Callithrix jacchus: one gene and its partners. The protein of the gene in region 4 interacts with the protein of the main gene of each other region in a biochemical or structural test. Links are inferred from orthologs where the notes say so. Each region holds a gene or a part of one and is shown on either strand. Other genes may lie near its edges. The genes, in order: AMOT, CD44, NHERF1, NF2 and SPTBN1.

What was found.
Region 1: the proteins of NF2 (region 4) and AMOT form a complex in vitro, tested with the Homo sapiens proteins (2 studies listed by BioGRID and IntAct). The link is inferred for Callithrix jacchus from reciprocal best matches to the Homo sapiens genes NF2 and AMOT.
Region 2: the proteins of NF2 (region 4) and CD44 form a complex in vitro, tested with the Homo sapiens proteins (2 studies listed by BioGRID, with this or other methods). The link is inferred for Callithrix jacchus from reciprocal best matches to the Homo sapiens genes NF2 and CD44.
Region 3: the proteins of NF2 (region 4) and NHERF1 form a complex in vitro, tested with the Homo sapiens proteins (2 studies listed by BioGRID). The link is inferred for Callithrix jacchus from reciprocal best matches to the Homo sapiens genes NF2 and NHERF1.
Region 5: the proteins of NF2 (region 4) and SPTBN1 form a complex in vitro, tested with the Homo sapiens proteins (2 studies listed by BioGRID and IntAct). The link is inferred for Callithrix jacchus from reciprocal best matches to the Homo sapiens genes NF2 and SPTBN1.

The regions. Positions count from the first base shown.
Region 1 is NC_133524.1:109,134,445-109,139,963, forward strand, and holds part of AMOT (angiomotin), read right to left. Parts: intron 1,466-5,519; coding exon 1,321-1,465; intron 77-1,320; coding exon 1-76.
Region 2 is NC_133511.1:100,549,153-100,554,671, reverse strand, and holds part of CD44 (CD44 antigen), read right to left. Parts: intron 3,552-5,519; coding exon 3,423-3,551; intron 2,290-3,422; coding exon of another isoform or gene 2,234-2,289; exon of another isoform or gene 1,991-2,233; intron 1,960-1,990; coding exon 1,831-1,959; intron 66-1,830; coding exon 1-65. UniProt on the Homo sapiens protein: Cell-surface receptor that plays a role in cell-cell interactions, cell adhesion and migration, helping them to sense and respond to changes in the tissue microenvironment.
Region 3 is NC_133506.1:130,697,753-130,703,271, reverse strand, and holds part of NHERF1 (Na(+)/H(+) exchange regulatory cofactor NHE-RF1), read right to left. Parts: intron 4,517-5,519; coding exon 4,355-4,516; intron 2,969-4,354; coding exon 2,815-2,968; intron 1-2,814. UniProt on the Homo sapiens protein: Scaffold protein that connects plasma membrane proteins with members of the ezrin/moesin/radixin family and thereby helps to link them to the actin cytoskeleton and to regulate their surface expression. Necessary for recycling of internalized ADRB2.
Region 4 is NC_133502.1:200,268,824-200,274,342, reverse strand, and holds part of NF2 (merlin), read right to left. Parts: intron 4,651-5,519; coding exon 4,433-4,650; intron 2,989-4,432; coding exon 2,883-2,988; intron 1-2,882. UniProt on the Homo sapiens protein: Probable regulator of the Hippo/SWH (Sav/Wts/Hpo) signaling pathway, a signaling pathway that plays a pivotal role in tumor suppression by restricting proliferation and promoting apoptosis.
Region 5 is NC_133515.1:60,056,417-60,062,605, forward strand, and holds the start of SPTBN1 (spectrin beta chain, non-erythrocytic 1), read right to left. Parts: upstream 3,990-6,189; 5' UTR 3,799-3,989; intron 3,761-3,798; coding exon of another isoform or gene 3,045-3,760; intron 2,738-3,044; coding exon of another isoform or gene 2,287-2,737; intron 1-2,286. Other genes in the region: uncharacterized protein LOC118147173, read left to right, coding at 2,287-2,737, 3,045-3,760, 4,788-4,940. UniProt on the Homo sapiens protein: Fodrin, which seems to be involved in secretion, interacts with calmodulin in a calcium-dependent manner and is thus candidate for the calcium-dependent movement of the cytoskeleton at the membrane.

The DNA of each region.
Region 1 (5,519 bases), on a different chromosome or scaffold from region 4:
GAGATGGTTTTTCTGGTGTCCTCTGACCCCTCATATTCCTTCTCTGCAAGCTGCTTGTTGGCAGTCTCTAGACGCTCTGTGGAATTTGGAGAAAATCAATAGGGTCTCAAATACAAACTTTCATGCACATACTACTGGCCCTCTAAATACTGACCTTTGGTAAAACAAGCCTGTTTCTCCTTGTTAAATAGGAATAGGTAACTAACACAGGTTTGCAAATGTGAATCCCAAAATACTAGACCATGGCAGGGGAGGAGGAGGTAAGTATTTAATGCTTTCATTCCTCACTGCCAAAGCCTAAGTTAAGTACAGAATTCTAAATTCCAATGAAATTATCCATCCCCAAATATATAATGATATCTTTCATTAACCAGGAAAAAAAACAGCATCACAGTTATTACAAAGTCTTTAAACTCACATAATGTCAAAGCTAGAAAGGGACAACTGGTAGCATGTAGTTGGGCCCCCGATTTTAAAGATAAAATAACCAAAATTCTAAGACAGACAGCAACATCCCTGGGTGGGCGCGGTGGCTCATGCCTGCAATCCCAGCACTTTGGGAGGTCAAGGCAGGTGGATCACCTGGTCAGGAGTCCAAGACCAGCCTGATCAATGTGGCAAAACTCTGTCTCTAAAAATACAAAAATTAGCCAGGCATGGTGGCGCACACCTGTAATCCCAGCCAACTACTTGGGAGGCTAAGGCAGGAGAATCGCTTGAACCTGGGAGGTGGAAGTTGCAGTGAGCCAAGATCATACCACTGTTCTCCAGCCTGGGCAATAGAGCAAGCCTCCAACTCAAAAAAAAAAAAAAAAGAAAGAAAAAGAAAAAAAGAAAGTACCATCCCCAAGGTCAGCAGTTTTGAAGGTGCTTTAAAGTAGAAATATTTCCCAAAGTCTTCAATATTATCAGGTGAAAGTAAAAAAAGAAGCCAGTGAGTCCCAGAAATAAGAAAGGACATTATACTTCAAGCTTGCACAGTCAAAGGGCATGCCTCCGCAAAACTTGTTAAAAAGAAGAGGCAGTACCTATTGTGGGGGTAGGCCAGGTGGCTCCAGAAGTCCCAGAAGGGATCCTGCCTACGACATCAGCTCATTGCTCATAAGACCAGGGAGGTGTACCTACACTTTGATTAATCAAGCTTGGGACTGAGCATTATTGCAGTCACAAAAAATTAGCCTGGCACATGCCCAGCCATTTACTGCCCATACCGATAGGTTGAACAACCCCAAAGAGCCTAGCTGGATCCTGCTTGGCCCTTCCCTTCACCACCCTGCAGCTGCTTCAGAAGTATAAAGACAAGCCCATTGGTTCCCTTACCTCTCAGATCCCTGTTGAAGTCATGCATCCTCCGAATCTCACCCTCTAGCTTGTTTCTCATGGCTTTCTCTAGGGCCTCTCTTTTAGAGGATGACTTCACAAGGTTCTCATATGCCTCTGAGACTCGCTGGATTTCTGTCTCCACCTTAACAACAAAAAAAGGAAGATGGTGGTGATGATAGGAGATTGATGGGGAAAATGGTCTGAAAACATACATGCAAATCCTCAGTGACAGCTTCTCTCAGGGCTCACAGATGGCCAGGAGGAAGCATAACACAGTCAGATGAGAAAAGTTTCAAGGAAGGATCTCCAAGTCCAACCATAAGCTTGGTAATTAACTCACTGAGTCATGGTCTTTCCTTGGGTTAAAAAAAAATATATATATAGTTTCTGCCTTCAGAGGAGCTAGTTAAGAATAAATTTTATAAATAGTTATTAATGATTTTAATTTCTCAAAAAATTATTAATTTTGAAAATATTAGTAATAATATATATAGTATGTAGATACTTTATTCCAAACCATTCAAAGGACTTTCTCATGTTGGCTCCAGTTTGTACTGGTATCTGCCTAGGCAGGATACCTCTTCTCATTTTAGTAGAGAGAAAAGTTAAATTGCCTCTGAAGAGCAAATGTCAGCATTAGAGACCAACCCTAAAAACCCCAAGCCTCATGAAGTAGTTCAGTTCAATTTAACAAACATTGACCAAGGGCCAAATATTTACATGAACTTTTAAAAACACTACTGGGGGGTGTAAATATGAATGAAAACATTCTCATTGCTCTCAAGGAGGTTTCAATCCATCAAATGAAAGAATATAGGGCAAGATACATCTTTAAGAAACGTAGTAGTGCCATAAAGCACAGAGAAGGAAGAAGTTATTCCTGGTTGGAGGAAGTGGGGAGGAGAACACTTTCTGGGAGGAGGTGGCACTTAGAGTCAGATCCTGAAAGCTGGGTCAGATTTCAATGAGCAGAGGTGAGGGGAAGGGTATTCTATTCTGAGTAAGCAAATGCATTCCCAGAACGACCAGTCGTCTAATTTGGCTGGACACTGTGGGGTACACAGAAGGAAGCTGGCGAGATATGGCTGCTAAGATAGATTGGAGTCAGATCATAAAAGGCTTTTAATGCCAGGCATTTGGACTTTATCCCATAGTCAGTGGGAAACCAGTATAGATTTTTGAACAGAAATTTGTAATCAGAGTTGTGTTTTATGACATCCCTGCAAATCTTGTAAAATGGGGGAAAAAAACTCAAGAGAGAAAGGATCTTGCCCTGAATCAGCCACAATCAGGCAGAAAACGAGAAATTAGACTCCAGAGTCTTTCTGTAACTAGTATAGCTCCATTGCACATATAATAACCACACAGATATTTGCATATAATTTGTATAAGACAAATAAACCCATGGCCTACTAAGCAAATTTCAGATTAAATTGGACTCTGCAACCATTCTGCATTCCTGTTGTGTTTTCCACTATGCTCCTTAACAAAGCTCAGGGTATTATACGGGGAGAAATATCAGGCCCCTAGTGGGACACTAGGGGAAAGGTAAGGTTGCCAAACCAGTAAGATTCAACCCGCCTCCATCTCCAAAATTCTGCCAGAGACAGGACTGCCTGAAAACAAATGAGGCTTACACCACAGAAAAGAGCAGACTCAAAAGTGTTTTTCTGTTCACAGACTCAAAAGTGTTTTTCTGTTCACAGATGGCACCAAGATAGCAGCACAGAAGGTGAAAACTGGTGAATGGCATTTAGAGACAAGATCTGCAAGGCCGGTGCCTGATGAAGCTTTTGCATGTAACTCAAGCACTCGGTAGAGAAAATAAACATTTCCATCTGAAAGAGCAGGCCTGGTGTTGGTCTGCTCTAGGCAGCATTTACAGTTCAAGGCTGTCCAGTCGCACAGAGAATGTCACACCTGGAAGGCAGCCCCTTTCCTCAAGGTGTGCAGACTGCTATTTCAAGATCTTATACTAATCCTTTCCCTACCCCCGTGTAGATACTGTATCCAAAAGGGCAAGTTGCACAGGTCTCAGTGGGGCCTTCCAGGAGAAGCCATCACAGAAGGATATATCCACTGGTTTGGGCTAGGTGATGGTAGGGGCAGGAGATAGGAGGGTGGCAGAAGGTTTTCCAAACTTACTCTGTCTACTTATTCCTGTCATGAGCCTCGGGCCTTTTCATTTCTTCCAGCTTTACCTGGAATCTACCTTAATTTTCCCCACTTTCCTTCTTTTCTCCTGTTCTGCCTTCCCCTCTACTGTACCTCGACACAGAGTCAGCCTCTACTTCTCCCAATACTCAAGCTGTTCCAGTTACACTTAAATTTAAGGCCTCTTTTCCCATCTTGGGGAACATACAACAGCAATCCTATTCTGCTCCTTTTACCTAACACTGGCTGAACCCACCCCCCCAACAAAAAAAAATCAGCATGGAGGCAGGGCACGGTGGCTCACGCCTATAATCCCAGCACTTTGGGAAGCCAAGGCAGATGGATCACAAGGTCAGGAGTTCAAGACCGACCTGGCCAAGATGGTGAAACCTTGTCTCTACTAAAAATACAAAAATTAGCCAGGTGCAGTGGCAGGCGCCTGTAATCCCAGCTACTCAGGAAGCTGAGACATGAGAATCGCTTGAACCCAGGGAGCGTACGTTACAGTGAGCCGAGATCAGGCCACTGCACTCCAGCCTGGGCAACAGAGTGACGTTCTATCTCAAAAAAAAAAAAAAAGAAAAAAAAAGAAAAGAAAAAATCACCATGGATCCTTTGGCAAAAAGGGCCTGTAGAAGAGAGCTAGGTTCATCCTTCAGTGATTTTATAAAAAATTGGCTGGGGTCACCCTGAAGAGAGAGTTTAGAGAAGGGGTGTCAACTGTTAACCTAATCAGCCAGACTGGGTTTCTGGTATACGGATATAATTAATTTCTTCCACCAAAGTGATGGGGTCAGGGATATAGTTAAAATGAGGGGTGAAAATACAAAGTCAGGGAAATGCTGGAAAGAAACAATTCTCAGACCATTCCAACAACCCTCATCCAGATTTAGGAAATCTAATGGACACAGAAGCCATTTTCCTATATAAAAATCCTCTACTGGTAATAAGCCCTTGTCACCTTTAGGCCCCAAGATTTGGTGTTTGTTTACAAATACTCAGCTTCATTCAGGCCTCTGAAATTTCCACTCCTGGTGTCTTCTAAGGACAGAGTTGCTGGACAATACAAGGCATCCTCCCATCCCTCCCCCACCTTCACCCTCACCTCTCCGAACAGTTCACATTGTAGGGAGATCAAACCACACGAGCTCCACAATAACAAAAGCTGCAAAGAAGCTATCAAAGGCATAACCCTATTCACCAGCAGCCAATGGAAGCCAAGAGCTAAGGTTCCTCACTTGGGGTACTCCAGAGCTCAAGTCCCAGCTGCAGGAGGGGAGGGCAGAGAAGAATGTAACCTGGGGATACACTCCTTTTTCTATTTCCTTAGCTCAGGGTTGTCACCTGTCACCCAGCTGTGGTGCTAAGCCCCTCCTGCCCGCCCCCCCCACACACACACACCAGTGAATGAGAGCAGATGTTGAATTTGAGCTGCAGGAAGGGACCAAATCAAAGGGTGGGGAGGAGGGATTGCTGAAAGAGAGTTACTATGAGAACTCCCACTAGGAAAAGTATTCTGAGCCGTTTCCAGAACAAGGCAGGACCGCTCTAACTTCAGCTGGTGAGATTTTTCTAGGAACTACATTTATTTTTAAATTTAAAATTCAAATTTATATTTGGGAAAATGTGACCAATACAATGAGCCTTAAGGTGCCATCAGATCCTGTACCTACACAGGCATCACAAGTATTCTTATCAACAAGTATCAGCTGGGGGTGATGGCTCACACCTGTAATCCCAGCACTTTGGGAGGCCGAGGCGGGTGGATCACCTGAGGTCAAGAGCTCGAGACAAGCCTGGCTTATATGGTGAAACCCAGTCTCCACTAAAAATACAAAAAATTGCTGGGTGCAGTGGCTCGTGCCTATAGTTCCAGCTACTTGGGAGGCTGAGGTGGGAGGACTGCTTGAATCCAGGAGCTCTGGACTGTAGCGTGCTATGCCTATTGGGTGTTTGCACTAAGTTTGGCATCAATATGGTGACCTCCCAGGCACGGGGGACCACCAGGTTGCCTAAGGAGAGGTGAACCAGCCCAGGTCAGA
Region 2 (5,519 bases), on a different chromosome or scaffold from region 4:
TTCCTCCAAACCTGTATTTGGATCTGCAGTAGGCTGAAGCTTTGTACTATGACTGGAGTCCATATCTGAAGGAATCAATATTAGTGTTATCGCTTGGTTTCCCAAATCACTATGAAGGTGGTTTAGGGTCTACAACAGATTTTTCAAAATATTTCACATCTGGCCAAGAGGAAAGAAAGCACATATTGACTATATCTCCAAAACTGAGATAGATTATTGTTTCTTTACAGAGTACCACAACAAGTAACTGGCCTTCCTTGAAGGGCCGAGTTATGTGAAAGCTATGATTCGTGTTTGTTTTTGCTGAGTCTAGAAGCACTCTACAAGAGCGCATGATGGAACACCCAAATCTTGCAGAGAGAGAGAAACATTGCCTTTCTTACAGAAACATGCAATCTGACACACAGAGAAAAGTCAACGTGCACTGACTCAGGCACTATTTTATCCCCTCCCTCTTACCAACCAAAGGGGCTTTTAAAAATGGCCCTCTTCCCCCTTTAGTCTTTTTCTTTTCACAAAGTGAATGTGCAAATAAACACAAAATCATCACCCAATACCACCTAGGTGGAGTTACAGGAAGTATACAGGGGCAAGAAATAAGAAGCAGTGGATGTCACCAAATTATTCTTTCAAGAAACTCAAATTTAAGGAGTCTTTAAAATTTAACGTGTACAATGTTGAGTAGTGCAGAAATTTCACTGGAATACTTGCAAATGTTGTTTTTAATAGTTATCACAGATCTATTCTGCTGAAATAACAGGTCTTGAGTGACACAGAGGCCAAACCCCATCAATATTCCTGGCTCTCCAATTCAGTCAAAATCCATCCACATCACTGCCTCTGGAAAGAGCTAATCAGTTCCAGCAAAGCACCAGAATACTGGGTACTCATGTCTGCACTGCAGCCTTTCAACACTAAAATATTTAAGATCTTTGTAGGACAAAAATGTGGTGACTCTCCTATCCCAGATTTCAAACAAGAGCAAGGGCTAACCTGAATCAAAGCCACAAATGGACATTCTCCCAGAAGAAGTCCCACTTGATGATGGGCTCTAGACTCTTGTTCATCTTCCCTCTTATCAGTAGAGTCCTTCAAGAGGTACCACACCATTGTGTAGTTGAAGCCAATTGTATTGTCCTTGACATCTTCATCTATTTAATGGAATCTCTTTCTCTTCATCAGTACAGAGACTTAATATTGATTCCGAAGATCTTTGCCTGGCTTGGTTTTCCCCCATGGGTGTCCTCAGAGCTTCAGCTGCCATGTGCAAACTCATGTGTGCTGGGCCTAGCCATTCAAACATATCTTCCTTTGTGACAAATGGATCCACTCACTTGAAATATTCATTCCTTGGCTTTTCTCCCTTCATGTTTCTCCTTACATGAGTCTCCTTCTTAGAAAAATTCCCCCACCCCTCCACCCACTTCCTTTCTCTGACTATCCAGTTTTTTTTAATTTTTTATAAATCAGGTCCAGTTCACCTTTCTGTGATGCTATGGTAGGTGAGGAGGGGTTCTCAGAATTTCTTTAGCATTCATTATTAGTAACATTCATTTCACATCTATTACTTACTGCCTCACCCAGATATATCTTGACAATAAATGTCTTTTTTGCCAACTGTCCTGACAAATTCCTTACCTTCAGCTCAAGTGTTCATACCAGATGAATATGCATATCACTCCTACCAAGAAAACAAATTTTTGAAGAACCTCAAGTCCTTCAGGAAAGAAGACTGGTCTAAAACCAAGGGCTTATTTCCAGAAAAATAGTCAACAGTCACTCAGTGGATTTCAAAAAAACATAATATATAAAAATTTCAGAGGCTATTACCCATCCTTCTTCCTGCTTGATGACCTCGTCCCATGGGATGTGAGACTGGGTCGAAGAAATCAGTCCAGGAACTGTCCTCTGGGCTTGATGTCGTTGTTCCTTGGGTTGAATGGCTGGTGTGGGCTGAGGCTGTTGTGATCATGCAGTTCAAGCAATTGTCAAAGTGTTAATGGACGCTTGGTCAGGGGTACATTGATTTTATTTTTAAAAAAGACTTGATTCTCTTAACAAGACAGTGCAACCATCTTCCTTGTATAGAGGGCAAGGAAGTTGCATAAATGCAGAATGCTTCAGCAGGTTCGAGTTCACTCATGCTCATTTTCTTCTTAGCAATCAGCATGTGAACTGGAGGACACAAAAGCATTAACAACTCCTGCAGCGCAGAGAGGATGAGTTACAGACATCAAAGGAAGATGAAGGAGAAGTAGTTCTGGACCCATGCCATGCTGCCACAGTCCCCTGAGAGCAGAAGTATAAGAGCCCAAGTGCATGATGTCATACTGAGACAGCCATATTCCAGCCGAATGCACCTTAGGCTGGAAGTGATCTCAGGAAAGAAATCAAGTAACAGCTTTCCATGTGATCAACATGAAAGTCAATGCCGTTTATCTCAAAAGCATGAATGGAATCCATTAGAAGCATTACCTTCTAACAATGGGACTTATGGCATAAATGACACGTAAGACAGCAGCAAATGCCTGGCTTCATTCTGAGCCAGTGAAGAAGTATAGGTAGAAAAGATTACAATAGCATCCTCTTAGCAACAACCACACCACATAGACAGTCAAAGAATCCATTGATCTGCCAGGAATTCATTCAGAACTTGCCATGCCCCAGAAGGACATGCTGCATCACCTTCTATATTGCAAAGAAAAACATGGGACTATTTCTCACTGAACTGAGAATATGGAATTCACCTTCTCTATAAGGCAGGACAGATTTCAATACTATGTCACACAGACAAAAGAATTCTGCATGGGTGCTTGCAGAGCCAAGTTATCTGGCATCACTTAGAGATGATGATAAGACTTGATTCCAATTTCCACAATCTTACAATTCAAGAATAGAGAAGATGCCTTTTTAATACTGAAAAAACAAATTACAAACAGGCATGACCAAAAAGCCAAATGACATCAGACAGGTGTCATTTTTCACATAATGTCTGGCTCTGTTTCTTCAAAGTTTTGACAAAATGCTATATCACAAGAAAATACTTTGTGAGAAATCACATTGTAACTCTGGACCCACATTATAGAATATATTCCTTTGCATGACAAAAGGGGGTATTTTATAATGGCCTCTGCTACAATCTCACTAGAGGAAGCCCAAAACTCGATGTGAAAGAGACATTCTTAAGGGCATATTCTCTGTGCTTCCCGTTCCTATTCCTAATGGCTTGTATTTATTCCTGTTTGGGTAACTTGTTATGACCCTTTAAGATTTGGCTCTGTGTTAACTGCAAGATAATTTATGAAGGAACCTAACATCTTGTGACAATTCCTCCAGTGTCCTTTTGTTCGATGTCTTCAATGTCTACCATTTAACCCAAAAGGAAGTTGCCATCGAAATTTACTTGTTAAACCATCCATTACCAGCTGTCCCTGTTGTTGAATGGGAGTCTTCTCTGGGCGTGTGGAGATATCCCTCATGCCATCTGTTGCCAAACCACTGTTCCTTCTGGGTAGCTGTTTCTTCATTTGTACTACCAGGAGTTGCCTGGACTATGAGAAGAATATCAGTTGGGAGACAAAATTGTCTATTTCTATTTTCCTTGCCAATAGCTGTCACGTATCTTTCTACTTTTTTTTTTTTTTTTTTTTTTTTTGTAGAGACGGAGTTTCGCTCTTGTTACCCAGGCTGGAGTGCAATGGCGCGATCTCGGCTCACTGCAACCTCCGCCTCCTGGGTTCAGGCAATTCTCCTGCCTCAGCCTCCCGAGTAGCTGGGATTACAGGCACATGCCACCACGCCCAGCTAATTTTTTTTTTGTATCTTTAGTAGAGACGGGGTTTCACCATGTTGACCAGGATGGTCTCAATCTCATGACCTCGTGATCCACCCGCCTCGGCCTCCCAAAGTGCTGGGATTACAGGCTTGAGCCACCGCGCCCAGCTGTATCTTTCTACTTTAAGGGCAGATACACATGGAGCTAGAAGGTAGAAAAGAAAGGCAACAAAGAAACAGGCCACTGATATTCTAAAGGGGATATTAGAAATCAAATGATCCAAACGTTTAATTTTTCAGATGTCAAAATTGTGGTCCAAAGAGGTTTTGATTTGTTCAAAATCAAAGTACTAAGCAGACCACAGTTGATGAATTCTCATAGTTCCATGAGTTATTATTTTTATTTTATTATAGTATATGGCATCACATACCCTGTCTGAGAAAACCATTCAAAGAATAACCTCTTTGCTCCAGTCATTTTGAGGAAAGGAAATACTGTACAACAACTAATGACAAGATCAGTGCATTAGGAGACCTTCTCAGATGGTGGTCCTGTAACCCATAATCACACACAATGGAAAGGCACCAGCAGTGGATTTGCCCAGCAGGAAAGGTGATGGGATGGCTTGGATGCTATTCCACTAACACATTGTATAGTAATGTCCACACGGCATCCAAAATTACTAAAATCACTTTTTAACAAAATTAATTCAGTTAACAAAAACTATCCAAGCTAGTCTGAGGCATTATACAAATAATAGTGTGTGACAGGCTTACAATTTCAACCATGGCTTTAAAAAGGACAAAATCAACAGAATAAAGTTTCATAGAGGTGCCTTCAGGAAAAGTCAGACACCAACATTTTTGTCTACACAACTTACAGCAAATTGTTTTTAGTTGATCAAGAAAATGAGAGCCTGTAAACTTGCCAAGTCAGAGTATTTTTTTGCAACTTGTAAAAATGGCTGTTTTTCATTATCTTAGAAAATGATATGTGTAATTTGGTGACAGCAATGACATTTAAAAAATAAAGCATACCATCCTCATTTACCTTTACATTGGCCAAGCCATTCTTGGGTAACTGGTTATCCAGGGGGAGGGGAAGAAAAGCCGAAATCTTTAAGTTTTACCTCCCACTGGCTAAATCACTAATTCCCAACAAGAATGAAGTTGGAAAAACCACTGAATGTAATTACCAGAAAAGGAAAATTGACCCAAATATATACTGCCGTGTTACTCAAAGTTTAAATAAAAGAAATAAGGAAGTGTATGTGTGTGACTGTACAGAAGGACTCTATAGTCCTTCTATCACTACTTTTATAAACATACTGATTTTTTAAGTACCTGTAACCCTTTATTATTTTCAGCTTAAATCGGAATGGGTTAGCAGAACATATGATTTCTATCCTACAAGATGAAGGTTGACTTTCTTCTAGAAGTTGTGATGTTAATTTGTTAAAGCCCAGAAGTTACCAATCAGATCCCTTTGAGTTTCGCAAATACTGATAAGAGAATTGTTACAGTTGTTGCTGTCTTCTCTTTGTCAAGTTACATTCTGTCTGAATTTTCACCCACCCTCTAGCATTAATGCCCCAAGCACCACCTTCTGACAAGAGGCTCATTATTTTCAAGTCTCTAAAGTAGCTTTCTGGTCTTTAAGTGCAAACTGTCTAAAGTCGTTTCTAAGATACACTGTTAGGGCTCTAAGGGACTGGAACAGAATCCTATTCCGAAGAGACTTCTGC
Region 3 (5,519 bases), on a different chromosome or scaffold from region 4:
GGAGGCGGGAGTTGGGTTTGGGCAGATAATTAGTTCTTGTCACTTACGTCAACATCTCAAATATTTTTTACTACAACCCACTATGAGTACATTTGCCTTATTATTTATTACAATTTTTTTTGGTAGCGATGGGGCCTTACTATGTTGTGTAGGCTGGTCTCAAATGCCTGGCCTCAAGCAGTCCTCCCACCTTGGCCTCCCAAAGTGTTGAGATTACAGGTGCGAGCAAATGTCTGGCCTATGTTTGCCATTTTGAAGACTCGGCACACACAAAAATTCTGTGTAACAAAAGTTTCACAAAACAATGCCCTTACTACAGTGCTCTTTGTTATTTTAAATTTCATTTCATTAAAAAAAAAAAAATTCTGGGCCAGACGCAGTGGCTCACGCCTGTAATCCCAGCACTTTGGGAGGCCGAGGCAGGTGGATCACTTAGGTCAGGACTTTGAGACCAGCCTGGCCACCATGGTGAAACCCTGTCTCTACTAAAAATACAAATACAAAAAGAAAATTCACCAGGTGTGGTGGCACGCGCCTGTAGTCCCAGCTACTTAGGAGGCTGAGCGGGGAGAATTGTTTGAACCTGGGAGACGGAGGTTGCAGTGAGCCGAGATTGTACCACTGCACTGCAGCCTGGACAGCACAGCAAGACTCAGGCAAAAAAAAAAAACAAAACAAAACTGGTCTCTATCTACTAAATTGACCTTATGAGGTCACTGATGGGTCACAAGGTGTTTAAAAAATGAATTGTCCCGGATGGGGATGAAATTCCAGGATGGCTACCTAATTCCTACCTGGGAACTCCTACCTGGGAAGCTTGTTAAAAGTACAAATTCCAGGCCGGGCGTGGCAGCTCGTGCTTGTAATCCCAGCACTTTGGGAGGCTGAGGTGGGTGGATCACCTGAGGTCAGGAGTTCAAGACCAGCCTGGTCAACATGGTGAAACCCTTCTCTACTAAAATACAACAAATTAGCTGGGCGTAGTAGCACACACCTGTAATCCCAGCTACTCAGGAGGCTGAGGCAGGAGAATTGCTTGAACCTGGGAGGCAGAGGTTGCAGTGAGCTGAGATGGAGTCATTGCACTCTAGCCTGGGCAACAGAGTGAGACTCCATCTCAAAAAAAAAGGTGAAAAGAAAATTAAATCCCAACTCTTATTAGCCAATCAGGAAATGAAGGGGGAGGAGAAGGCTCAAGGGGTGTGTGCTGGGTGTCCCCTCCTCCAGCCAGTGGGAAACCTGGAGGGGTCAGAAGGAGACAGGTCTGGATTCACCTTCACTGGGCTCACTCAGGGTAGGGGTCCCACATGGCTTCAGGGGTGGCTGTTCCATCTCTAGGGACTGGTCGGCCTAGGTGGGCTTCTTCTGAACTCTTGGCTTAAAATTCATGGTCATCTTTTCCCTTGTCCTGGTCCAGGACACAGCCAGAGATACCTGACTCTCTTCTCCCTTTTGACGCCCACAGCCTTTCTGGGGCAAGGACAGCTGCTGGGACACAGGGACGCTTACTGTCCCCTCCCTATCAGCTCACAGTGGTCGGGGGAAACCTTGGCAGCCGGAGGGGGGCATTCCTCCCTGTGGAGAGAGTGAGGATGCCATCCTGGAGGGACACTGGGGAGGAGACTGCTCCCAGGCCTCTCCTCTTCAGGTCTTTTGGCCAGAGGCCGCAGCCCCTCCAGCCAGAGACAGGCAGAGAGGGAGGAATATCTGAGGGGCCAATTACCTTCGGGGTGAAGGGGTGGGGGAAGGGTGCTGGAGGAAGCAGGGGACAGTATCTCAGGAGCTGAGTGGAATCCAGATTTCAGCTGTCTTCCTTGTACCAGATCCCTAGGAGCAAGGCTGGGGCTTCTCTGGGCCCTAGTCTCCCCTTCACTGGAGAAGGGGATTATCTGAGTTTCCATAAACTTGGGAGACAAGGGTAAGGCAGTGCCCACCTCCCATGCCCAGAGCCAGCTAGGGACTTCCAGGGGCCATTCCCTCTTAGTCTAGGAGCCTCCAGGCCTTAGATTAGGGGACAGGAGACAGGGCCTCCCCAGTGGGCTTTTCCAGCTGGGGATCAGAGTCTGCAGCGGGACCTTTGTGTGAACGCCCTGCATACTGCAAAGTCCCAAGAGGTTCCACCCTCAGTATGGCCCATTGAACACCCTCTGCCCCCTCCAGGGAGCCATCTTCCCAGGGAGAAAGTCCAGACCAGGGAGCAGAGCACTGCTTAACCCCTCCTTGCCCTGGTACAGAAGCCCTGCCCTGTTTAGCTCTGGCCTGGGCAGGGGGAGGTGCCAGACCTGGCAGGGTGATGGGGGATGGGGAGGGCAGGGGCCCAGGGGCTGAAGGGGGACCCACTACTCTCTAGAGCCAGCAAGGCTGAGTTTCCAAGACAACCTGAGAGGAGGGAGGGGGAGGCACTGGGCCCTGTCACTGGACTCTGATCTGACCAAGCAAAGGCTGGAGGCCTCCCTGGAGTTAACCCTTTCCTCATATCAACACTGCTCTGAAAGTTTCCTGGTGGAGGCAGAATTGGGGGCTCAGGCCTCCCTTTGGGGCTGCAGCTTTGGCCAGGAATCAGAAGTTCTGTCGTCCCTCTGACTGTCCTCGTGCCAGCTGACCCTGTCACAAGCCATCCTCAGAAACCCACTGCCACTCCCCATACTAGGCCCATGCTCCCCCAGCCCACACCTCTAGGTCTTCCCTGAAGGAGAGGGAGGGAGCACCCACACCGGGAAGCTGCCCACCCCTCGCATGGGACCCAGCAAAGTCTTAGCCCTGGCTCACATCCATGACTTGGGGGCCTCTAGCCAGCATCCCCACCTGGCTTACCATTCAGGTGCTCCTGAGATGGAGTCACTTTGCATTTCTTGAAGAACTCGTCGGTTTCCCTGTCCACCACTAGCAGCTTGGTCACGTCCCCGCCAGCCCTGATGGCAGACACCACGTCCCCATGCTGCTTCCCCTCCATGCAGACCCCGTTCACCTGCAGGGCGGGGTCAGGGAGGCATTATGGGCACGGGCCTTGGTTCTGGGCCAGGTAGGTGGAGGAGGGCTGGGTAGGGTCGGAGAGGCACCTTGGTTCTCAACCAGTTTGCAGTTCACAACCTGGGGATACCGACCCCCACCATGTTTGCAAGTCCTGGACTGGGCCAGGGGTCCTCCCATTTGCCAGTCAGCTGGGGAGGCAGGACACATGGGAAAGGCCAATGAAAATATCCGGACGAGACTAAACAAACACAGCTGGGAGAGACGGGATGGGAGAGATGGGATGAGAGTGAGCTGGGAGGCCGGGTGGGGCAGCCTGGGTAAGGACTTGTTGTCCGACTTCCCTCTCTGGGCGTTGGTTTTCTCACGTGTAAAATGAGAAGTCTTGGGAGAGCTGATCTCCAGCTCTAAGGTTCTAAGACTGTGATTCTGGGACCTGCCTGAGCATTTGGTTCACATTTCCTCTCCCAGGAGCACAGCGCCAGTGCACTGAATGAGTGAGTCTTAAGAGTCTAAAAGCCTAACTCGGGGGCTGGGCATGGTGCCTCTCGCCTGTAAGCCCAGCACTTTGGGAGGCTGAGGCGGGCAAATCACCTGAGGTCGGGAGTTTGAGATCAGCCTGACCAACATGGAGAAACCCTGTCTCTACTAAAAATACAAAAAATTTGCCAGGCATGGTGGCACATGCCTGTAATCCCAGCTACTCAGGAGGCTCAGATAGGAGAATTGCTTGAACCCGGGAGGCGGAGATGGCAGTGATCCCAAGTTGCACCACTGCACTCCAGCTGGGCAACAAGAGCAAGAATTCGTCTCAAAAAAAAAAAAAAAAAAAAAGCAAAAATTAGCTGGGTGTGGTGGTGGGCACCTGTAATCTCATCTATTCAGGAGGCTGAGGCAGGAGAATCACTTGAACCCAGGTGGTAGACGTTGCAGCGAGCTGAGACAGCACCATTACATTCCAGCCTGGACAACAGAGTGAGACCCCATCTTAAAAAAATTAAAAAATAGATATATCACTACAAAGATAAAAGCCTAATTCGGGAGTGGGGTTTTGTTACTGCTACCCCCACCTGTGTGCCTGGCAGCAGGGAAGCTCTGGAGGTGGCCCCAGACATCTCCCTGATTGATGGATGAATCATAGGTGCTGAGTGTGTCTGCTTGGCAAGGAGGAGCCCAGGGGAGAGTGAGGGTAAGAAAGGACTCAGTCAGTCCATCTGTCTGTCCATCCATCCATCCATCCATCCATCTACCACCCTGCCTTCCCTCCCATCCACCCAGCAGCTCCAGGTTGGCTATGCCCATGGGCTAATGATGATACTGCCCTGGCACTGCTGCTCTGCAGGGGGCGGGGGTGGTCAGATAGGAAGAGGACGAGAAGCATCACCTCCACAATGCGGTCCTGGGCCCGGAGGCCTGAAGCTTCAGCTGGGGAGTCTGCATCCACTGACCGGATGAACTGGCCTGGCTTGGACTTGTCGCTGTGCAGGTTGAAGCCATAGCCATTAGGACCCTTCTTCATGGTACAGAGCCGAGGACGAAGCTCGCACTGTGGGGACAGGGGAGGGTCCATGGCTATTCCACGATGCCCCTGGTTCTGCCTTACCTGTCCTCTGCCTGACCCTATCTCCCCCACCAAGGAGGGCTTGCAAGGATGCAAATGTGCTTAGATCTTACAAAGCAGTCTGAGAGGGTTCTGGCCCAGGACTCAAAAGACTTGTATGGACACCCAGCACTGCAGCAAACTGCTTAGGTGACATGGGTAAAACACTGCTTTGTCCAAGCCTCAATTTCCTCTTCTGGCAAATGAGGGGTGGGACCAGGTTAGCTCTCACATGCCTGCCCCTCTGACAGTCTAACGTGAATCACGTGCTATGTTGATCAAGCCCTTATCCCTCCCCATTGGTGGCTCAGTCTGGCCCTCCTGGAGAGGAGGCACAGTGTGGCACCCCTGTCAGCCTGGCTGGGGACCTGGGGCATGTGACTGAGGACCCCTAGCCCCTTTGTATCCCATTCTCTGCAGCAGGGAAGGAAGAGGCAGGTGTTTACTGAAAGCTGGCCAGTGTGTTTACAGTAAAGCTTTTTCCCATATACACGAACTCCCTCACACCCCCAACAAGCCAAATGGCCCAGCCAAAAGGGAGCCAGAAGGAGCAGATAACCAAAATCCTGTTGTGTGGCACAGCAAGGGGATGTGGCTAAGACCGGGGACCAACCTCAGGTATTCCAGGACCCACCCCCACCACTGCCCGGGGGCAGAGGTGGCAGTGAAAGCATAGCGACCCCAGAAATGGAGGAGCCTGAATGGGGAGGGGACCGAGAAGAGCAGGGCTGGGCTAATGGGAACCCAGGGTGGCTGTGGCCTAGAGGGTGGGACCTACTAAAAGGGCACATGTGGATTTCTTTTGCGCACTCAGACTCAGCTGAAAACAGTTTGGCCGAAGCCTGTGCCCAAGGACTATGCTATGCCCAAGTCCCTGTCCCTCTCCCCCTCCTCCAGGCCTGGTGCAGGGCCACTGACTGCTGTCCAGCCTGTTGGCCCTGGGTTATCA
Region 4 (5,519 bases):
AAGTCTTGTTCAGGAAATAGATGTGTTCACAGATCATCACTGTTAAATAAGGTAAACACTGTAGCCAGGAAGCGAACAGAGGCTAGAAGAGATGCTGCTTTTGCTGGGAATCCAGGCAGTGCCAGGAGAAGGTTTGCCGGTGGGAGGCATGGCAGCAGGCTGGGCAGTGCCCAGTAAGGGTACCAGGAGTCTGCCATGTGAAGAGGAGGGGTGGGAGATGGGCACCACCACAAAGGGCTCTACCTGCCCACCGAGGGGTTTAGGCTTGGACAATGGAACCAGAGTATGGCTTGAAGCAGGAGTGATGAAATTAGATTTTTTTTTACTTTCATCCCAGAACAAAGGGTCTTCTAAAGAGGGCCCCAATCTAGCTCCCCAGCTTCTCCCATGATTTGCCCTGCTAAGTCCCAGACCGTACTTTTTAAGATCCCTGGACTACTGCTTTCCCGTTTCGGTACCCTTGCCTATCCCATTTCTCCTCCCTATACTTCATCCCTCTTTCAAGGCTCTTCTCAAATACCACAGTCTCTCACCAAAGCCTTTCTAGCTCCTCCCAGCCAGCCAGCAACCCTTTTCTTTGCTGTCCCTTAACGCTGTGTTTATGGTTCTCTAATGGCTCTTTTTACAGCGATTCCATCCTGTAAAAGATTTCTTTTTGGCTGTGTCTTTCTACTATTTGCAAGTTTCCTGCAAACGATCTGCCTCTTTTTCATCCTTGTATCCCTTATTAAGTCCAGGACAGTGTCTGGGAAAGAGCAGAGGCTTGACACATTCATTTGAGACACTTTCAAGGCCTGAGGCAGACCGTCTGCAAGGGTGGCAAGAGAAGGCTCCTGGGGTGCCAGGGACATCCTGTTTTCTGATCTGGGTGCTGGGTACATGGGTATGTTCAGTTTGTGAAAATTCTTCAAGCTGTATAGTTGTAATTTCGGCACTTCTCTATATGTATGTTATACGTCATAAAAATTTCCAGAAAAAACAAGTTCTAGTTGCTGTAGCACTAGTGAGAGCATGAACTGGGACGACTTCTTTGGAGAGTATCGAAATGGAAAATTTGACCCCACAGTTCTATTATGAGAATTTATTCTACCAGTATATCCCTGTGTGTGTGTCAAGATTTGTGTTCAGGGATGTTCAGTGCTATTTTGCTCAAAACTGCAAAAGAAAACAGACTAAATACTCATCCATGAGGGACTGGTTAAATGAATTATAATCCATCTACACAATAAAACTTGATTAAAAAGGTGATATGAATCATCTCCTCTAGGATTGACTGCTAAGAGGAAAGAGTGGATACAGCAGTGTATAAAGTTTGCTCCAGTGTGTATTTTAAAAACAACACATAGACTGGGCGCGGTGGCTCACACCTATAATCCCAGCACTTTGGGAAGCTGAGGCGAGCAGATCACTTGAGCTTAGGAGTTTGAGACCAGCCTGGGCCACATGTCAAAACCCTGTCCCTACCAAACACACACACACAAAATTAGCTGGGTGTGGTGACGCACACCTATGGTCCCAGCTTCTCAAGAGACAGAGGCGGGAGGATCGCTTGAGCCTAGGAGGTAGAGGTTGCACTGAGCCGAGATTGTGCCACCGCACTCCAGCCTGGGTGACAGAGTGAAACTCTCTAAATAAATTTTAAAAAAAAGTAATAATAAATAAAAACAACACACACATCAGTAATAATAAATAAAAACAACACACACATCTCAAGTGTTCAGCCAAGCTGAGGGCTCAGATGACTACAGTCCCAGCTACCATCTGACTGTGACCACCAGAGAGATCCCCAGCAAGGATCTCTGTCTGGCCCAGTCAACCCAACCAGCCACCAGAGGTACTAATAAAGGGTTGTTTTGGGCCACACGGTTGGCTTGGGTGGGTTGTTACATAGTAATAGAGAACCAGGATATATGACAACAGCAAACTGCTTACATTTCCCCCACCTTGAACCCCAGGCAGCTTGTGCCTCTGGTGCTCTTTGTGCATCTGTGTCATGTATGTGCCTGTGCCATGTGCATGAATGTATGTATGGGTATGTGTGTGTTTGTCTGTGCTGTGTGTGGATGTGCCATGTGCATGACTGTGCCGTGTATGAGTCTGGGCCATGTGTGCATCTGTGCCCTCATCCTGAATACCCTATGTTCTCTTCTCCACCTGGCTACTTCCTGTTCCTACTTCAAGCTTCAGTGCAGACACCATACTGAGCCTCTCCTGCCCCTCCAGGATGGGCTGTGTCCTCCTCCTCTAGGCACCCATGCACCCTGAGAACACCTGTCAGGATAGAGACTTCCAACTATGTGGCACAATGTGGATACAGAACAAATATGCAAAAAAAAAAAAAAAGTGCTGAACTGAATGCACAGAAGAAAGGAAGGAAAGAGGCTTCTATTCATTTTGTGACCCCATTTAATAGGAAGTCTGCCTCTCTGTCCTGAAACTGAGATTGGCTGCTCATTCTTGCACAGCAATAATTCACTCTGAGATGTACAGCCAATCCCTTCCCAAAACTATAATTATGATATATGGTATATACTGATAGTTGAAGATTACATTCAGCTCAGCATTAAGAGGCAAGAGAGCAAATTCTCTTGAGGATAATCTGGGACTATATTACTTAGAACATGAAAAAGATTCCAGAGCTGGAAAAGGCCCTGTTGCCTATTATCTAGGCAACCAGAGAGACAACTAACTAGTCCAAAGCCAAATGGCAGACCAGGGTGTTTTACCCAGTCCCTAACTGCAGGCTCTCTGCACCTCTCATCCTGCCATGCGTTTACTTGAATGGTCAGCCTGAAGGCACTGCCAGATGAACCGAAGGGCCGGAAGGAAAGAGAATATCACCAGGGCTAAGGCAGCCCCAGGTGGCAACCCCACAGGCTCACCGGGTACGTGGGCTTGGTGGCGATCTCCAGGAGCTTTTGCTTGGCTCTTCGCTCCGCCTCACGCGCTTCCTGCAGGTCCTGCTTCAGCTGATCGGCCTCTTTGGCCCTGCAAGGAAAGGAGGAGATGTCAGCATCACAGAACAGGGCAGGTGGAGGGAAAAGACCCCACCCTACCTGTGCAAAGGAGAGACCTTGGTTAACCCTGAGGATGGTACCTGAAGAGGCGAAAAAGGACAGCGGGACAGGGACATTTACATGAAAACTTCCAAAGCAAGGACAACACTCCTGAAGATTTTCATTTGAGCTGGTAAATCTAAACTGGAAGAGCAGGAAAACTGGTGGGGAATGAGAGAAACCAGACCGTCTGCAGCCGGGAGAGGGAGGAGCTGGAGGAAGCACCAGCAGCTTTCTCTGCTTTATTTTTGGGTGAAAGTAAGCTGGGCAAAGGAAAAGCCTGGAGGATCAAAGTTCTTATATCGGATCGCAAAGCGCAGTATATGCAAGAGCTGTGTCTTCACAGTCCCCGGGTAAAACACCTGCAGGCCTTGTGCCCACTTTCTCCAGCAGGAAGATGAGCCCTGTCACTGAGGGCACTGCACCTTGGTGAAGATCCTCACCCTGCGGGGCTTGGGGTGGACACAGCATGTGAGGCTTGGCACAGGGACCTGGCCCAACCTGCATCACAGGTTGTGTGTGTGCAGTCCCTAGTCCAAGCCAAATGGCAGACCAGGGTGTTCTATCCAGTCCCTAACTGCAGGCTCTCTGCACCTCATCTGCCATGTACAGGGAGTGTGACCTGCATACAGCAAGGGGGCCGAAGCAGGACAGGCAAAAAGAAACCATATTCCCAGAATGACATGCAAAGAGTGGTAAGGAAACTGTAGTGAATGCACCTTGGTAACTAAAAGCCAAATTCAAGTGCTCTAAATCAACAGCCAAAAGCTGTGGGGAATGTGTCAGTGTTTATCTGAAGGTTGCAGGCCTAGAATAGTCTTTCAAAAGTACAGACAACAGTTCCATCCTTCAACCTGGCCATGAGTGGGACATACCAGTCACAGAGACTATCCTAGCCCTCCTCCCCCATGTGCCAAGGAAGGCTGGGGGATGCAGGCACTAGTTTCCCTTTAAAGGTAAGCAGCTGCTGTTCTGCAGCTCCACCGAATGAAAGCAGAAAAGAACCTTGTTATTGTTGTTTTTTTTTAATGAACAAAGAGCCTTCTCACGTCTCTTCAGCTGAAAGCAGTCTGTGGATATACTCAGGGGTTTTCCTGCATACACGGCCATCAGAGGGTCAGGGGCTTATCACAGAGGTACAAGCCCGACCAGAGAGGTGCACCTGGCAGGAGAACTGAGTTCCTATGCCCATCCGGTAGCGCCAGCCCCAAACTGGATGAAGCATCAGTCGCCATTGGCAAAGAAGTAGCCTCCCTCCAGTCCAGAAGATGGGGAAGCAGCTTGAGGATGGCTGCTATGGAGCTCAGCCTCAGGGCAGGCTGGACTGTGGCCCTTCACCAGCCTCCTCACCAGTCTGGTGCTCAGCGTCCCCTCACCTTCTCTCTGACTCCTCAGCCATCTTCAGGGCCAACACCTCGGCCTCTAGCACCTTCTGCTCCATCAGGCGCTTCTCCTCCTCCGTGCGAATGGCTGTGGCCTTGATGCGTTGCATTTCCTGCTCGGCCTCTGCAGCCTTCTGGGCCAGAAGTTTTGCCTCCTCCTCGGTGATCTGGGCCTTTTCAGCCAACAGGTCAGCCGTCTCCTCGGATCGCATCTGGAAGGCACGGGGCTCTTAGCTAAAGTGGGATCATGTGCTATTCTCCCGCCCAGATCTGCCTTAAAAACAGAAATAGAACAAACCAGAGTCTTGGACTCCTGGGGCCCTGCTGCTGAGTGCCCCCCATGACCCTCTGACAAGAGGTGACAAGCCACATTCTCCAGCTTTTCAGAAGGGCCCTTCGGGCTGCACCCATGGGGAACAAAAAGAGCACCTCCTCTGAGTACCCACTTCAGCTCAGGCTTATGTGTCACGCGGAGAAAAACAACTTAAACTCTGTTCTTTCCCTTTAAATCAGTGGTTCGAACCAGAGGAGCTTTTTGTTCCCTGCAAGAGACTTGTAGCAGGCTGGGCATGGTGGCTCATGCCTGTAATCCTAGCACTTTGGGAGGCCAAGGCGGGCAGATCACTTGAGGTCAGGAGTTCAAGACCAGGCTGGCTAACATGGTAACACCCCGTTTCTACTAAAAGCACAAAAAAATTAGCCGAGTGTGGTGGCACGCGCCTGTGATCCCAGCTACTTGGGAGGCTGAGGCAGGAGAATCAGTTGAACCTGGGAGGCGGAGGTTGCAGTGAGCTGAGATCGTACCATTATACTCCAGCCTGGGCAACAAGAGCAAAATATCATCTCAAAAAAAAAAAAAAAAGAGACGTGGCAATGTCTGAAGATGCTTTGATTGTTACAAACGGAAGGTGAGGTGCTGCTACTGGCATCTAGCTCACAACAAAGGATAGTCAGTCCCAAATATCAGTAGTGCCCAGGCTATAAAGGCAACCTCGTGGTGAAAGTGGAATTTGGCTGCACATGAGCTAACCTAAATCTGCTTCTGCCAACACAGGTGGAAAGAAAAGCCAGTAACTTTTTT
Region 5 (6,189 bases), on a different chromosome or scaffold from region 4:
AAAACTGTTTTGCAACTTTAGAGGTGTTTTACAAAAGAACCTAAAACACTAATTAATCTAAATAAACCATAGTATAGGTTTATTTAGGACTCTTCCACCAAAATTAAAGAACAGCTTTATAAAATAATTTTATATTAAATAATTTACAGTGAGTGCCTCGCTTTTTTCACCACTGTCAAGAAAAAAAATGTGCTGATACTTCAGCAAAAATTAAAAGGAAAATACAAGAAGGAAACTTTTGATATTGAGGTCCCTGTGCTGAAGGAACAGAATAGTTTCTTTATTTAACGTGCATACAACTAACTTAAAGGTCTTGTTAGAATGCCAATTCCAATTGGCTGAGTTCAGAGTGGGGCCTAAGAATCCTACACAATAAAAATTTAAATATAATTACAAGTGTTACCAGAAAAATCAGAGTACTAAATTAGGTCTTTTGAAAAAAAAAAAAAAAAAAAAAAAGGTGCTCTGAGTAAAAGCAAAGACTAAAAACTTACAAGAAAAATCCATGAGATGCTTTACTCACTTCCACACACCTACCAAGCTCGCTCTTCTAACAGGGGTAGCTAGCCCTTTCCTTACGGACGAATGGTTTGCATTCTCGATAGTGTAGTGAAAGAACCAGGGCTACCATAGGGAGATCCACAGAACATTAAATAAAGCCGAATTATGACTAGTATGAAGATACTAGTCAGGGTGCAACATAATTAAAGGAGCATCATGTCACTGCACGTAAAAATAGGCTTTAAAATGTTCTATAAGAATATGTTATTAAAATAAAAAGCTTAAAATTATTTCAACAAAGCCACATTGAATGATTTCCACTAATCATGTCTATGTTTGTTTAGTAGTAGTAAAATCTTTCCACATCAAAATAGTACGTCCACACATAAAATCATACATTCATACATCAATACAAAGCAATCAGTCTACAAACTCTTTCAAGAAACTCTGCCAATGCCAAGCCTCTGCTCAGGATGTGTCACAAGTAGAGTGAGGTCTTCTCATTTGCTCTACAACATCACAGATAGTTGTTACTAGTCTTGCCCAAGAGAATCTCTTCACAGAAAACCTCAACTGTGGGAGATGACCAAGTGACAGCAGTTCCTTCACTGCCCAATACTTCTCCTCTCAGAGGAAGGTTTTGGTCACTCCAGCAGCAACAGAGTTACAAACAGCTTAACCCAACAGAATTCCGCACCTGGTGTTTAAGTCAGAACAGCTAAACCTCCTGTGACATCAACACAGGATATTTCTTACAACAAAGTAAATCCAAAACGTCTGGATGATCCATGGAAACAACATTCACAAAAATCTTTACAAAACACGATTTTATACAACCAGCACAACAATGAAGCCCAAATCCAAAAAGTCCCATATTTTAATGGCTCTCTATTAGAGAAACTCAAAATAATGCACATAAACCACACGATGTACATGCAGTGCTATTCTGCAGAGCCACATGAAATTAAAAACCACTAACTTAGATTCATTAGAAATTTTTAAAAATACAAGCAGGCACGCCCTTGGCTTGCAAACACTGAGCTCCCCTTCTAGCTAGCATACTGAAATTTCCTTTTTCACCTACACATTTTAGAAGAGCCTGGGTTGATATTTGAAGTCTATCCCATTTGCCATCCCACACTGAATAAATGAATTATAGAAATGGCATTTAGAAGGGAAATTCCCTGTGTCCTGGCCGAGACTAAACATGAGAACCATCTCCTACTGACTAGATACCAGTCAAGAGGCCTTGGTGCTCTGCACCTCTCCACCCACTCCGCAGTCACAGCTGTGAAAACATGTATACAAAAAATGCATATAAACAAACATAAATGTAGTCTGTTACTGTCATAATCCCATTAGTTATGCCTGGACACTTAACTCCACTATCTGAATCAACAGAAATCTGAATATCAATTTACCCTACATCATGACACTCACACAGCGAGTCATCCTTAATAAAGCATCCAAATAATGCAATTGTACTTGACTTACTTGCAAACGATGAAAACAAAACAAATACACGCCAAAGGAATCATTTACTGTCCATTAAAAATATAAATATCTTTTAAAACAACCTGAATTTCAATGTCAGTGACATAAAACTAAAATACACTAATCATTTCATTTAAAAAATGGTTTCCTATAGAAAAAATGCACACTTGGTATTAACCAAAGACGGACGAGGTACTATAATGTCACAGTTGTGAAGGTCCAATTAATAAACACCAACTTTCCACGTAGAAAGAAATCAGTGTGTAGCTGGGCTATGGTTACAGATTATGGATGATCCACAGAAAAACGCTGCGATTCCCCACACTGACTGCACCATTGCCTCTGCACACGACTGGGCCCGGTCCTTCCTGCTGCCCCTCCCTAAGGCTCAGGTCCGCTGGTGGGAGATCAGATTCCGATCTGCATCCGCAGGCCGGCTCCCCTCTGCCTGCATTGGTGCTGCAGGGCGCCCCTCCGGCGGAACGCAGCCCAACAAGAGGTGCAGGAGGGATCATCCCAAAAGAGAAGACTCTCCCCCGCTCACACCTGGGTGACCTGGTCCTCCTGACGCCACATCCAGCTGAAGCTGAAAGACAAGGTAGCAGCAGCTCCAGGCCTTGGCCAAGGGCAGCCCCGGGCCTGGGTGGGGCCGGGCGGGGGCCGCAGGCGCCGAGCGGCCGTGCCAAGCCCCGCCAGCGAGAACCGAGGAAGCTGCGATACTGCTGCATTGTGCTGCATCACGGCGAGGGCACCGTGAGCCATCCATCTTGCCAAAAAAGCACATCCCCGCCCAAATAAACCCCACCGAATTAGTTTTTCTCCTCCGCCGAAGCACCCCCACACTCACCCTGACCTCACTATCTGGCCTGGCTTTCCACTGGAAAAATAATGGACAGAGGCTTGTGTTCTGATCCCCACTCCCTCCCCATCTGATGGCAGCTCTTGGCACCTTTCCTATCACAAAAACAAAGAGAAGGCTCCCCCCAAGAGGGCCGTGGGCGTGGTGTGGGGGGTGATGACGAGAGGAGCTTCCAGCCCACGTCCCTAAGCCAGGCCCGGAGGGTCCCCGCGCAGAGACAAACCTGTTGAAGAGAGGGTGCGGGAGCTGAAGGGCCGGAGCAGCGGCGGCTCGGCGCCCCGGAGGCGGCTCACGCCCAGCCCTGGGAGAGTGGGGACAGCAGGGAGGGCGGGGGGGGGCGGGCGCAGGGGGGTAGCGAGCGCGGGGAGGGGGCGGGGGTGGGACGCGGGGCCGCCGCCTCCCGCTCAGCTGCAGCGCGGCGCAGCCGGGACCACGCCTGGCCGCATCCTCGGCACCGCTAGGCGCAGAGTCCGGCCCTGTCACCGCCGCCCCCACTCCCCACCCGCGGGGCCACAGGGAGGGCACCTGAAAATAGACCCTCCGGCTGCCCGCTCCGCACCCACCTTCGCCCTGGGCCCACGGCGCCAGGGTGTAGACAAGCGGCGGCGGAGGCACGGAGGAGGAATCGCCGTGCCGGGGCTGGGGCCGGGTAGCTGCGGTGCGCAAGGCGGGTCTGCTGCCGCCTCACCGCAGAGCCTGCCGCCCCTCGCCCCGCATCACCCGAGTACCAATGAGCACCCGCGACCCGAGCTCCCCGCGCCGCCCCCACCCGGGCTCTGCAGACTCCCAGCCCCCACGCGACTCCCCGGGCGCTGGGCAGGCGGGCATCGGCGTCCTCCGGCCCTGGGCCCGCGCCCCTCCTCCCGCCCGTCCGCCGCCGCGGAGCCCGCCCGGGAAGCAGCCCCAGTGAGCTGGCATCTCCCTGCCTCGGGTCCCCTACCTACCTCCGGGGATGGGGTGGGGGCGCCGGGGTCCCGTCCTCCTCCCGCTCCTCGGCGGCCGGGCGGGTAGGCCGGGAGGCGACTCCGCGGGTCTGTCCGCGGCTGGGGCCGGGGCTCACAGGACGGGACCAGTGGGCGCTGCTGCGCAGGGCTGCGCGCTCGCTCCGGGAGGAGAGGCGGCCGAGGGAGGGACTGGAGGAATCCGCAGCCTGCACGGCAACAGCTGCACTGATTCCGGGGGCTGGGCGGGAGCGCGGGGGGCGGGGGGAGGAGGGGAGGAAGGGAGGACGGCGCTGGCAGGGAGGGGGCGAGGGGCGGGGAGAGGAGAGGAGCGCGCGGGGCGGGCGCGCGCACTCGCGGGCTCCCTCCCGCACGCCCTCCGCCCTCCTCCCTCCCGCCGGCTCCCTCGGCTTCGCCGGCCCTGTCCTCCCGCCCCGAGCCCCGCAGCCTCCCACCCGGCGCTCGCTCGGCCAGGGAGCCGAGCCACAGGCGCGTCCACGTCCTCTCCAGTGGAGGCTCTTCCCCCGCCCAGTCCGGACCTCATCCTCCCAGCGGCGGGGACCGACCGGGCTGGCCGTGGCCGGGTGGGCACTGCTGCTGCTGCTACCCGAGCAGGACAATAGGGGCTTTGTCCCCACAGCCGGAGAGGGCCAATTTCACGTTTAATTTGAGGCTAATTCGATTATCGCCAAGGAAAGAGGCGGCCTAATTTTCTACGTGACTTGTGCAGCCTCTTTTCGCCCTTGATGTTGCGTTTGGAATGCGGGGGAGAGAGGGTGTTTAGGGAGGTTTTGGAGCGTCGCTTGCTTCGTTGATTTGAGATGCAGGTGGTGATGCCTTATAGGTTCTGCGCAGCTTGGAGAAGGGCGACGGCGACCTCTTCGTGGGAAACCTTGGGCGCTGGAGGGTCGGGGGATGGGGTCGTTCCTTGGTGAGGTTAATGTGTTCTTCCTTTGTGAATGCTTTTTCACCCACCCTTTCGCTGTGCGTAGCTGGGAGCAGACCCTACAAGTGGTTCATCCAACTCCTGCTTGTCCCAGCGCAGGCTCCGCTCGAACCTGAGGCCAGCTGCTCTTGCTCAGTCACTCCCAGGAGTGGGGTCGTCTGGCCGCGGTGGAAGATCCCGTGATGGCTTGGGGACTTGAGTTCTCCCCTCTGCGTATTCCCCGAAACGGAAACTGGACGTTTCCTCGAATTTTTGTCCTGTCCCAGTAGCCCTTCCCAGTCACCTGGCCCCTCAGGCTGTGTAGAAATTCCACAACTGTCGCTAGTGTGAATAAAAGATGGTAGAATCACCAGGACCACGAAAGGAAATGCTCTTTAGAAAACGGTTTGAAGAAACTGACTTTCTCCTTGCTCTGTAAGGTGCCCAAGGCGGCACTGTGGGCTTTCAGAGGGAAGAGGGCCCTTCCAGGCTGAAAAAGCCCCAGGGCTTTTCCTCATAAAGACCCTTGATCACCTGGATTAAAACAAAACCAAAAAACCAAGGCAAATAGTTTGGATCATGTTTATATCTCAGATCACTAGCACCTGGCCTGATGGGTTTATATGTTTGTATGTATTTTTAAATGAATATTTAAAAATAAAACTAAGTGAAATTGTCACAGCAAACTGAAGATGATTCTTCCTTTTAGGCCTTCATCAGTTTGAATGTTTGTACCCATGTTTACTTCCGATAGATATGAAAAAAAAATTGAGGAAGGCAAATAACATTTTTTCTCAGAAGGTGAATCAACACAACCAGACGGTAAACTCTAAGGGTAGGGTTCTTTTTTCTTCACTCTGTACACAGCAGGCACTTTAAAACTATTTGTTGAATTAAACAGAATCAACTTATAAGCTGCTGCCTTCATTAGGTAATAAGAAAAATCCACTAAAAAGCAAAATTGTTTCCCTTTCACTTACTTATTTTTTACTATGGACCCCAGCACCTCCCTACCCACTATGTTAATGAAATACCAAAGAAAACAGTAACTATTTGGGAAATGCATCCATTTAAGTTAATTCTTCCAATGTTATTCTGAAATGGTGACTCTTAAATAATTTCTTTATCACAGACAATGGTACTTAAATAAATTTTCATTTGATGGATGATTCACCTCCTCTAACCCATTCCACTCTCACTTACGTTGTTTTTTAAATTTCCTTAAAAAAAAAAGGCGGGGTCCACACACAACCTTAGCAAGGTACTCTAGTAAAGCACCAGTAATTATTCCAAAAATGTGGAAGACGAGGATTCAGAGTCCCAGTATGTATACCTGCCTCGTAATTTTGAAGTATTACCCTTAAGTGCAAAAAATCATGCTGGAGAACTCAGAGTACCAATGACCACAAAGAAGTAACAATTCAAAGAAAAGATAGTACAATTGGAAAGATTATTGGAGAAGACATCTT